Linked DNA regions of Kluyveromyces lactis. The protein of the gene in region 1 purifies or fractionates together with the protein of each later gene. This does not show direct contact. Links are inferred from orthologs where the notes say so. Each region holds a gene or a part of one and is shown in the gene's direction. Other genes may lie near its edges.

Evidence for each region.
Region 2: the proteins of SAS3 (region 1) and NTO1 purify together in Saccharomyces cerevisiae (affinity purification with mass spectrometry; 4 studies listed by BioGRID, with this or other methods). This does not show direct contact. The link is inferred for Kluyveromyces lactis from reciprocal best matches to the Saccharomyces cerevisiae genes SAS3 and NTO1.

What each region holds. Positions count from the first base shown.
Region 1 is NC_006041.1:1,770,550-1,774,741, forward strand, and holds SAS3 (histone acetyltransferase), read left to right. Parts: upstream 1-1,228; coding exon 1,229-3,427; downstream 3,428-4,192. Other genes in the region: KLLA0_E19889g (NAD(P)-dependent alcohol dehydrogenase), read left to right, coding at 1-612; KLLA0_E19933g (SANT/Myb-like DNA-binding domain-containing protein), read right to left, coding at 3,985-4,192. UniProt on the Saccharomyces cerevisiae protein: Catalytic component of the NuA3 histone acetyltransferase complex, that acetylates H3K14. The NuA3 HAT complex has 2 functionally distinct forms.
Region 2 is NC_006041.1:584,300-588,681, reverse strand, and holds NTO1 (Nto1p), read left to right. Parts: upstream 1-1,474; coding exon 1,475-3,658; downstream 3,659-4,382. Other genes in the region: RTG3 (Rtg3p), read left to right, coding at 1-937; SEA4 (Sea4p), read left to right, coding at 3,850-4,382.

The sequences.
Region 1 (4,192 bases):
CTATGTGGTGGTGCCACTGTGTATTCTCCATTGAAGAGAAATGGATGTGGCCCAGGTAAGAAAGTCGGTATCGTTGGTATCGGAGGTATTGGTCACATGGGTATTCTATTAGCCAAAGCCATGGGTGCCGAAGTGTACGCCATCTCTAGATCCCATGCCAAGGAGGAAACATCCAAGCAATTGGGTGCAGACCATTACATTGCCACTGAAGATGAAGGTTGGGAAACCAAGTATTTCGATACATTGGATTTCATGGTTCTATGTGGTAACTCATTGTCGGCCGTTGATTTCGGCAAGCTACCAAAGATTTTGAAAGCTCAAGGTGTTATTGCATCCATTTCTGTCCCTGATCAGCATGAAGCCATACATTTACATCCAGCGCAACTTCTAGGATTCCAGATTACTCAATCTTGTCTAGCATCTCGTGCAGAAATCATTGAAATGTTGAACTTGGTGGCTGAAAAGAAGATCAAACTATGGGTTGAAACGGTTCCAATCAGTGAGGAAAATATCTCCACAGTGTTCAAAAGAATGGAAAGCGGTGATGTTCGTTTCAGATTCACACTAACTGACTTTGATAAACAGTTTGACCAATTCAAAGCCAAGAAATAGGCGTTGAACTGTATAAATTATATAGATGGTTGACACGTTGTTCATAGCTTAAGTCACTTATATATACATACTATGACATAAACGTCAAAATGGAAACACACATAAAATACAACCTACAATTTATACACATTGCAAGGAACGGCTTTCATAAACACCAGAGGACGGTAAGGGTACAGTAAAGTGCATGAAATGCAGTCACTGTAGCCAAGGTTACCTTTCCAGTAACCGAAAATTTCTCGAAGAAGAGCAACAAGATCATGGGAAATATTTGCTAACTGAGCTGGTATGAAAGATACAAAAAAATACAGATATCACGTGACCATCAAGAAACCGAAATTTTTGATGCAGCAGTAACATGGATCTGTATTGTTTTGCTTCATTTCATAGGAGAAAGAATGATATAGGCAACCGGTTTTTGTAAATGTAAGACCTAGATTGCTTGCTGTTAGTTTCGTTTACTATAACTCGGACTTTGTGAGTTCTTGTGAGAATGTGTTTTTAGAATAGACATTCTTCTCTTCTAAAACTAGTAAAGGTACTATCCTCTCTATTTGTTTACCTTATATTGAAAGAAGAAATAATAATTCATCAAGTGGCAGTCATCGCATATTTAAGAATGACGACTTCTAAGCGAAATAGACTGCTGAAGGAACTTCTGATTGATGATAATATACATTCCAAAGTACAGGCTGATTTATGGGACGCTGGAGATGGTGGAGTACGACGGAAACGCACCAGAGATAGACATGACAAGTCGTCGGATCATATAGGCTATAACGGTGCTGATGATTCTGGGGTGCAACCGGAGAAGAATAAGGACAAGAAACTTAAAACGATTGTTATACCATCTGATTGGAATGAGATGAACAGCCATGTGCAATTTTCAGACGATCGTAGAATTATTACTATCAGGTATAATCCGTTGAAGTTGCTTGATTTCAATCAAGTGTTGAACAGAGGCAGCGATCTCGACGTAAAAGTACCGTCAATTCCGCTAAATGGCATTGACTTTGAGATATATGAAACTGAAAATTTGTTAACATCTCTTGATAACGATGCTCAGTTCCCTTATCGTGGCGCAATTGAAAATAAGCAGGATTATACAACTCATAGGACCATTCCTCGTGTCAAAGATAGAGAGTTTTTTCTAACTTTGCTGCGTAAGTCCCAAACAGCAGCTCGTTTCAATGGTAACACACTCCTGGCATTTCCAAATGATGAAGCTCATAATCAAGATAAGAAACGGTTAAAGCCAACAGCTTTGATGCATTCTGCGAAGACAACCAACGTGGAATATGTTTATTTCCAAAATTATGAGATCAAAACTTGGTATAAGGCTCCCTACCCTGAAGAGTATAACAAGAACGAAATTATCTATATTTGCGACAAGTGTTTGAAATATATGAGTTCAAAGTATGTCTATTATAGGCATCAGTTGAAATGTGATTATATCCACCCGCCAGGAAACCAAATTTATAGAGATATGGACCAAGGGTTCGCCATTTGGGAAGTAGACGGAAGAGAGAACGTTATTTATTGTCAGAATTTATGTTTACTAGCGAAACTTTTTTTAAATTCGAAAACTTTGTATTATGACGTGGAACCCTTTATGTTTTACACCATAACAGTATGGGAGGACGAAGAATGGAAATTTGTTGGATATTTTTCTAAGGAAAAGCTAAACTCAACTGGTTATAACCTAAGTTGTATTCTTACTTTACCACATTTTCAAAGGCGCGGTATCGGACATCTACTGATGGACTTTTCATATCTCTTATCAAGAAGGGAATTTAAACTAGGCACTCCCGAGAAACCTTTGAGTGATCTTGGTTTGGTATCTTATCGAATATACTGGAAAAATAAGATGGTGCAAACGCTTAATATGTTATTTGAAGAACTGGGTGATTCATTCGCTTGTACCATAGACGACTTGTCCAATCTAACCGGTATGAATCATTCGGATGTGATATTCGGCCTGGAACAGATTGGATGTCTATACAAATACAACGATGAAGCCTCAGGTAAATGCAAATATGCAGTGAAAGTAGAAGATTGGGATATCTTGTGTCAGTTATTTGAACAGTCTAGAGCGAAAATGAAATATACTTTGGACCCTTCCAGATTTGTTTGGAAGCATGTCATTTTCGGTCCTTCGTGTGGAATCAATGCCGTTGGAACCATGGTAGAAACAAATGTTAGCCAGCAAAGAATTACGTCTGCCGCTGGTTCAACAGCTGCTGATCCATTCAAACAAAGTATATCTGTTCTAACGAATTTTATGAGTGACGATTTGGCGGATCCAAGAACGATGGAAGAAGCTGCAATGGAAAAGATTAAGCAACAAACTATTCCTGTATCCTTGTCTGATAAATCTTTAGTTCGAGCATATACACTTCCAAGCAATATCAAGGAAAAAATCATTAAGGCAAGCAAAATAAAACCTGAATTCAAACAACTCAATACGAAGCTCGGGGGGACTATTCCAGCTCTCAATGAAGGTACACCTTCTGGCGATGCTTCTGATGCCAAAACACTGATCAGCGGAGGTATGCACGATGATATAAATGGCGATGAGCAAGAAATTGAGGAAGAGTTTGAAGAGGCAGACGGTTTAGAAGATGAAGGTTTCTCGCTAGATGATGCAGAAGCTGAGGAGTATTCAGATGATGATGAAGATGATGATCAAGTGCCACCGCCTCCAGAGGAAATAGCGACTCCTAGGGTCAGTAGATCTCTAAGAAAACTCAGACAGCACAATCCCGTAGAAAATGAAGTTCAGCAAAGACCACAGAGAGTCTTACGGAATAGAGTTTGAATATTAATTAAAGGATAACCTAATCATAGTAATGCGTGGCCATGACATGTGTTTATGAGAAGAAAACTGATAATAGTGTAATATCTAATATATGCATGTATATATGTATATGATTGTAAGAATAGCGAAAATTAATGCCATCATTGATATAGCAGTAAAATGTAAATAACAAAACAACGTAATAGTACGCACTTTTCATTTAAGTGTTTATGCAAAAGGAGCAGCCCGTGTCCCTTTGCTATAATAAACTGAATAGGGACATTATTATGACAAAAAATAACCATATGGTACAGTTCAAATGATTTGGCATAAAGATAACACTGTAACAGTATTATTGATGTTCTATTGTAGTTATAGTACTTGTACAATGGGGTCATAATCAGGAAAGTGTGTGCGTTTATGTGATAGTAAATCAACGACAATGATGATTGAAGTAGCAGCGACTGGCGCCACGATACACTTCGGGGTTCATGTTCATACATGTCTGAAAGTGGTTTGTAAAGTAGTTTTTTAAGTTTTTGGTTCTTGATAATGGTATTAATACAGACAGTTTATCATCAAACAATGTGCTTGAATATCGTATTCAAACTAGGCAGTGGCTGAGTTGGCACTTGCGGTAGTCGATGGTTTTGTGGTGGTTGAGGAGATTGCGATGAATTCGGAGTGAACTGGGGCGTTTGTTCATTACTAGCCTGTGTTTGAAGAATTTGCTTCGGTACGCTGGCAGGCATCCTATTGCCATAAAAAGATGAGTTGTTCACATCA
Region 2 (4,382 bases), about 1.2 Mb from region 1:
CCATAGTGACCTGATGACACCAGTTTCATCGTACCAGCCACAACCAATGAATTCGTTTGATTCCCACTCTTACAACCAACTGTCTTCAAGTTTAAGGTCTCCTTCTGCCAGTTATCGTGGTGCTTCGCAACTCTCATCGTCATTGAGAAGTAACAGGGGTTCGCAACAGTTTCCAACAAGTAGCAGTTTGACTTCCACGCCTAAAGACATGAACTCATCGGCTTTGACTCAAGATGAGAAAATACGTAGGAGAAGAGAATTTCATAATGCCGTCGAAAGGCGTAGAAGAGAGCTGATCAAAGCTAAAATAAAGGAGTTGGGGACATTGGTTCCACCAACATTGTTACATTTCGATGATTTTGGAAAGAAGGTAAAACCAAATAAAGGAACTATATTGAAAAGAACAATTGAATATATGGATTGCTTAAAGCAAGTTTTAGAGATTCAAGATGCAAAAAAGGAAGAACTAAGGAAGAAGATCGCTGAACTCGAAAGAAAAAAGTCGGATCTCACAAATTCTTCTCTGTTGCAATCAGGAGCATACCCGAAAACTTCTCAAAATTACCAACATATTTCCAAATCTGAATCCCCCATTACTCATCATATCTCCTCAGAACAATACCAACAGCAGCGACACCAACAACAACAACAACAACAACAACAACAACAACAACAACAACAACAACAACAACAACAACAACAAGCTCACATCAACAATGAATATATTAACGATGATGAGCAATATCCAGAAAGGATTATTGACAGTAGAACATATCCGATGCTTGTCAAGGAGACAAACGCGGGAGCAAACGCGATACATGATGATCTTCAACAATTTTTGTCTGGTACATTAATGGAGAACGAAGACAACAGCAAATTAATGTTCAGCGGACGTGCCGAAAATCCTGTTGATTTATTACTTGATTTCGAAGAGTAGGGGATGATCTTCCTTGGGTTTTTTCGAATCTAATTACAAGAATATACAAATGTATACCACTTAAAGTAGTTAATATACATATATATATATATATATATATATATATGTTCCTTAGTTCTACAATGCGCTATGTAACGATAATGTGTTTTTATAATATGCAAATTCATGCTTCTTATTAATTGTTGCTTGGCACATCACTTTTAATCACAAAATGTCATAAAACCGTTACAAATGAAAGAAAAAGCAGTAATATAAAAGGATAACTAGACGCCTTGATCAACTTTTCAAAGATGCTAACCCTAATATTGTTCAATGAGTGTCGATCATATCTACGGACGCTTGCAGAGTCAGTTCTTAAGTCAAATTAACATTCAATCATATCACGTGATATATACTCCGAAAACCATAACAAAGAAAAAAGATAAATGAATCGGCCTATATGTTGAAAACGATCCAATTAGATGTGATGACATGCCTCTTTTCACCGAAGAAGCTCATTTTGGATACGATAGGCTGTAATATAGTTGGGATAAACTAATGCAAACTCAAGAGGACGGCGTTAGGCTTCGAGAAGAAGTTAGTTTTAAGCATTTCTATCCGGATTTAGACGTAAATGACCTTGTCCTTTTTGGGAAAAATAATCATGATGAGTTGAATGATCGTCATCGCCACGATGAAGAAGAAGTGTATCCTGACGATAATTTGCGAGAACATTTGAAGTCATGGAAACAATTGATCGTAAACGATAGCATAACAATCGAAATGCTAGGACCTCAAATCAAGAACGCAGAGTTCAAGCGCTGTAAGATTCGGATATCACAGCTAAATCCTCATGGCAAGGTTAATAAACAGTTGGTAAAATACGGATACAGATCTCATGCAGATCGTACTTGCGGATTAGATCAAAAGTCATACTGTAAGAAGACTGATCTATTGATGAAGCATAGCAATGAGTTTTTTGCTGATGTTTCGCCATACCAGGTTAATTTTAAGGTAGAGTATGATATGGATGAGCAAGATGACTTATTCCTTCGGCACTTAAATACGGCACTGACAAATTCTAAGCATAAGTTATCACACGAAGTTTTCGAAATAGTTATTACGATATTAGAGAACGAAGCTTTCCATTTAGAGAAGAAAATTCCACCAAGAGTATCACCTAGTGCTACTAATAATACGCATGAATCTCATGCTGCCTGGAAGCATCATGAGTTATACGGATCAGACGACGGTACTGGATACCCAATGGATCAACCGTGTGCAGTATGTGGAGGCATAGAATGTGATAATTCGAATGCGATAGTATTTTGCGATGGTTGCGATATCGCCGTACATCAGGAATGCTATGGTGTAGTTTTCATTCCAGAAGGTCAGTGGCTTTGCCGAAGATGCATGATATCCAAAAATAGAAAGCTCGAGTGTCTCTTTTGTCCCAGTACCACTGGAGCTTTCAAACAAACGGATAACGGATCGTGGGGCCATGTGTTATGTGGAATTTGGATACCAGAGCTTTATTTCGGAAATCTACACTATATGGAGCCGATTGGAGGAATAGAGAATATCCCGAAAAGTCGATGGAAGCTCACATGTTATATTTGCAAACAAGAGGTCGGTGCTTGCATCCAATGCTCGAATAAGAACTGTTTTGCAGCGTATCACACTACGTGCGCTAAAAGAGCTGGATTATACATGAACTTCAATGGATGTACAGTTCAAGAGGCTGCCTCAAAAAACTTTTCCACAGGTGCTTTCCTGGAAAGTTTTTGTCACAAACATTCTCCTAACGGCTGGAGTAGCTGTGAAGACGGAATTCGTAAAACTAGGGATTATTTTAATCACATTAATCATCACAAGGTGCTACAAGACAGTGCCGTGGAAGAAAACAAGCAATCTGCCAAGAAAACCATTAAGAATAAATGGAAAACCAGTAGGGGAACTTTAATTGCACCTCAAGCCTTCGCAGATATTACAATGAGAGTTTTAAACAGATTTCATGTTCCAAATTCCGAGCAAATTTCGTTGGATATATGCAAGTACTGGACAATGAAAAGAGAACTCAAAAGAGGCGCTCCTTTGGTAAGAAAGTTCAGCCCATCTTCTTTGAATACTCTAGATACCGAAGAGCTAAATGACAGAATCGTATTCTCAGAAGTTCTTTTGAGAGACCTCAATTCATTGGAAGGTCTTGCATCATCTTTGGTGGCTAAACAAGAATGTAATGTTGAAAGGGTAAGAAACCAAAGGATCATAAACGACATTGCGTTCCATCCGATAAGGTATATATTGAAGGATGTTGTGTGGAACAATCTCACAAAGACTTTATCTTTTAAATCTTTTGCAGACCTCGAATCATCTTCAAATTTCAAGGTCATACCTTACATTAGCTCCAGGCTTGAAAATGATGAATACTTATCTGTCCAAGAATTCAAGGATGAATTTGTTGGAAATATAGTGAAAATAACATCCAATGAGAGGTCACCGAGATCACTGGTAATAATGGGATCTAAGCTCATCAACGATCTTAACAAACTTTTATCTAAGATTGATGAGTTAGATGTACATACTTTATTACATGACGATTTCGATATAGATGAGAGAACACATCAAGTAGAAGAGGTTAATTGGAAGGGCCGGAAAATACTTGCACGCGAAGGACTAGCTGATGTTGAAGATTTATCGATCAAACAGGAAAGACAATTGAAAGGACTACTACGTGACTGAATTATCCATCAAGTTTTCGTTCACTCAGTACTTAACTCTCCTGTTCCTATGTACATATATCCGGGTAATAAAACTATATACGGTAAATTATTTCAAGATAACTTCAGAATGAGTGATAAGATGCATCAAATAATATTACGGTATTCAATGTAGTAAAGCATCTGTCGAGGCCAATCCACCAGTATTACTTCATGGGCTTGATTAAACGCGTTCCTTGTTGGCCAAATGTGGAAGGGTTGGATTTTTTGTCTGTTAATCCTACAAGAGATGAAGTTTCTCATTACCGAGTGAAGCTGGATGTGGAGACAGACGAGTCCATCGTTAAGGTGAATACAGTAAAGGACTTTGGAAATATAACATGTCTAGATTACTCTAATACAGATGAAGGTATAGTAGGTGTCGGTGAGAAAAGCGGTGTTGTACGGTTATTTAATATTTTGGATACGGACGATGCATACGAGCCGTTCGATCTACGAGTACGAGCAAAGCACCAGCGAACTATCAACAGTTTGAGTATAAATACAAATGGCCTAATAGCCATGGGTTTAGATCGCAATAAGCATGATGCCTCTGTACAGGTGTGGGATGTAAACTACCAAAGCACGGAATCAAATGTTATCACACCATCTTTTTCATATTGTTTGAACGAAAGTATCGTGTCATTGAAATTTGTCGACGATACCAGCATCTTAGCTGCAAGTTCAAAACTCTTGAAAGAAATTGA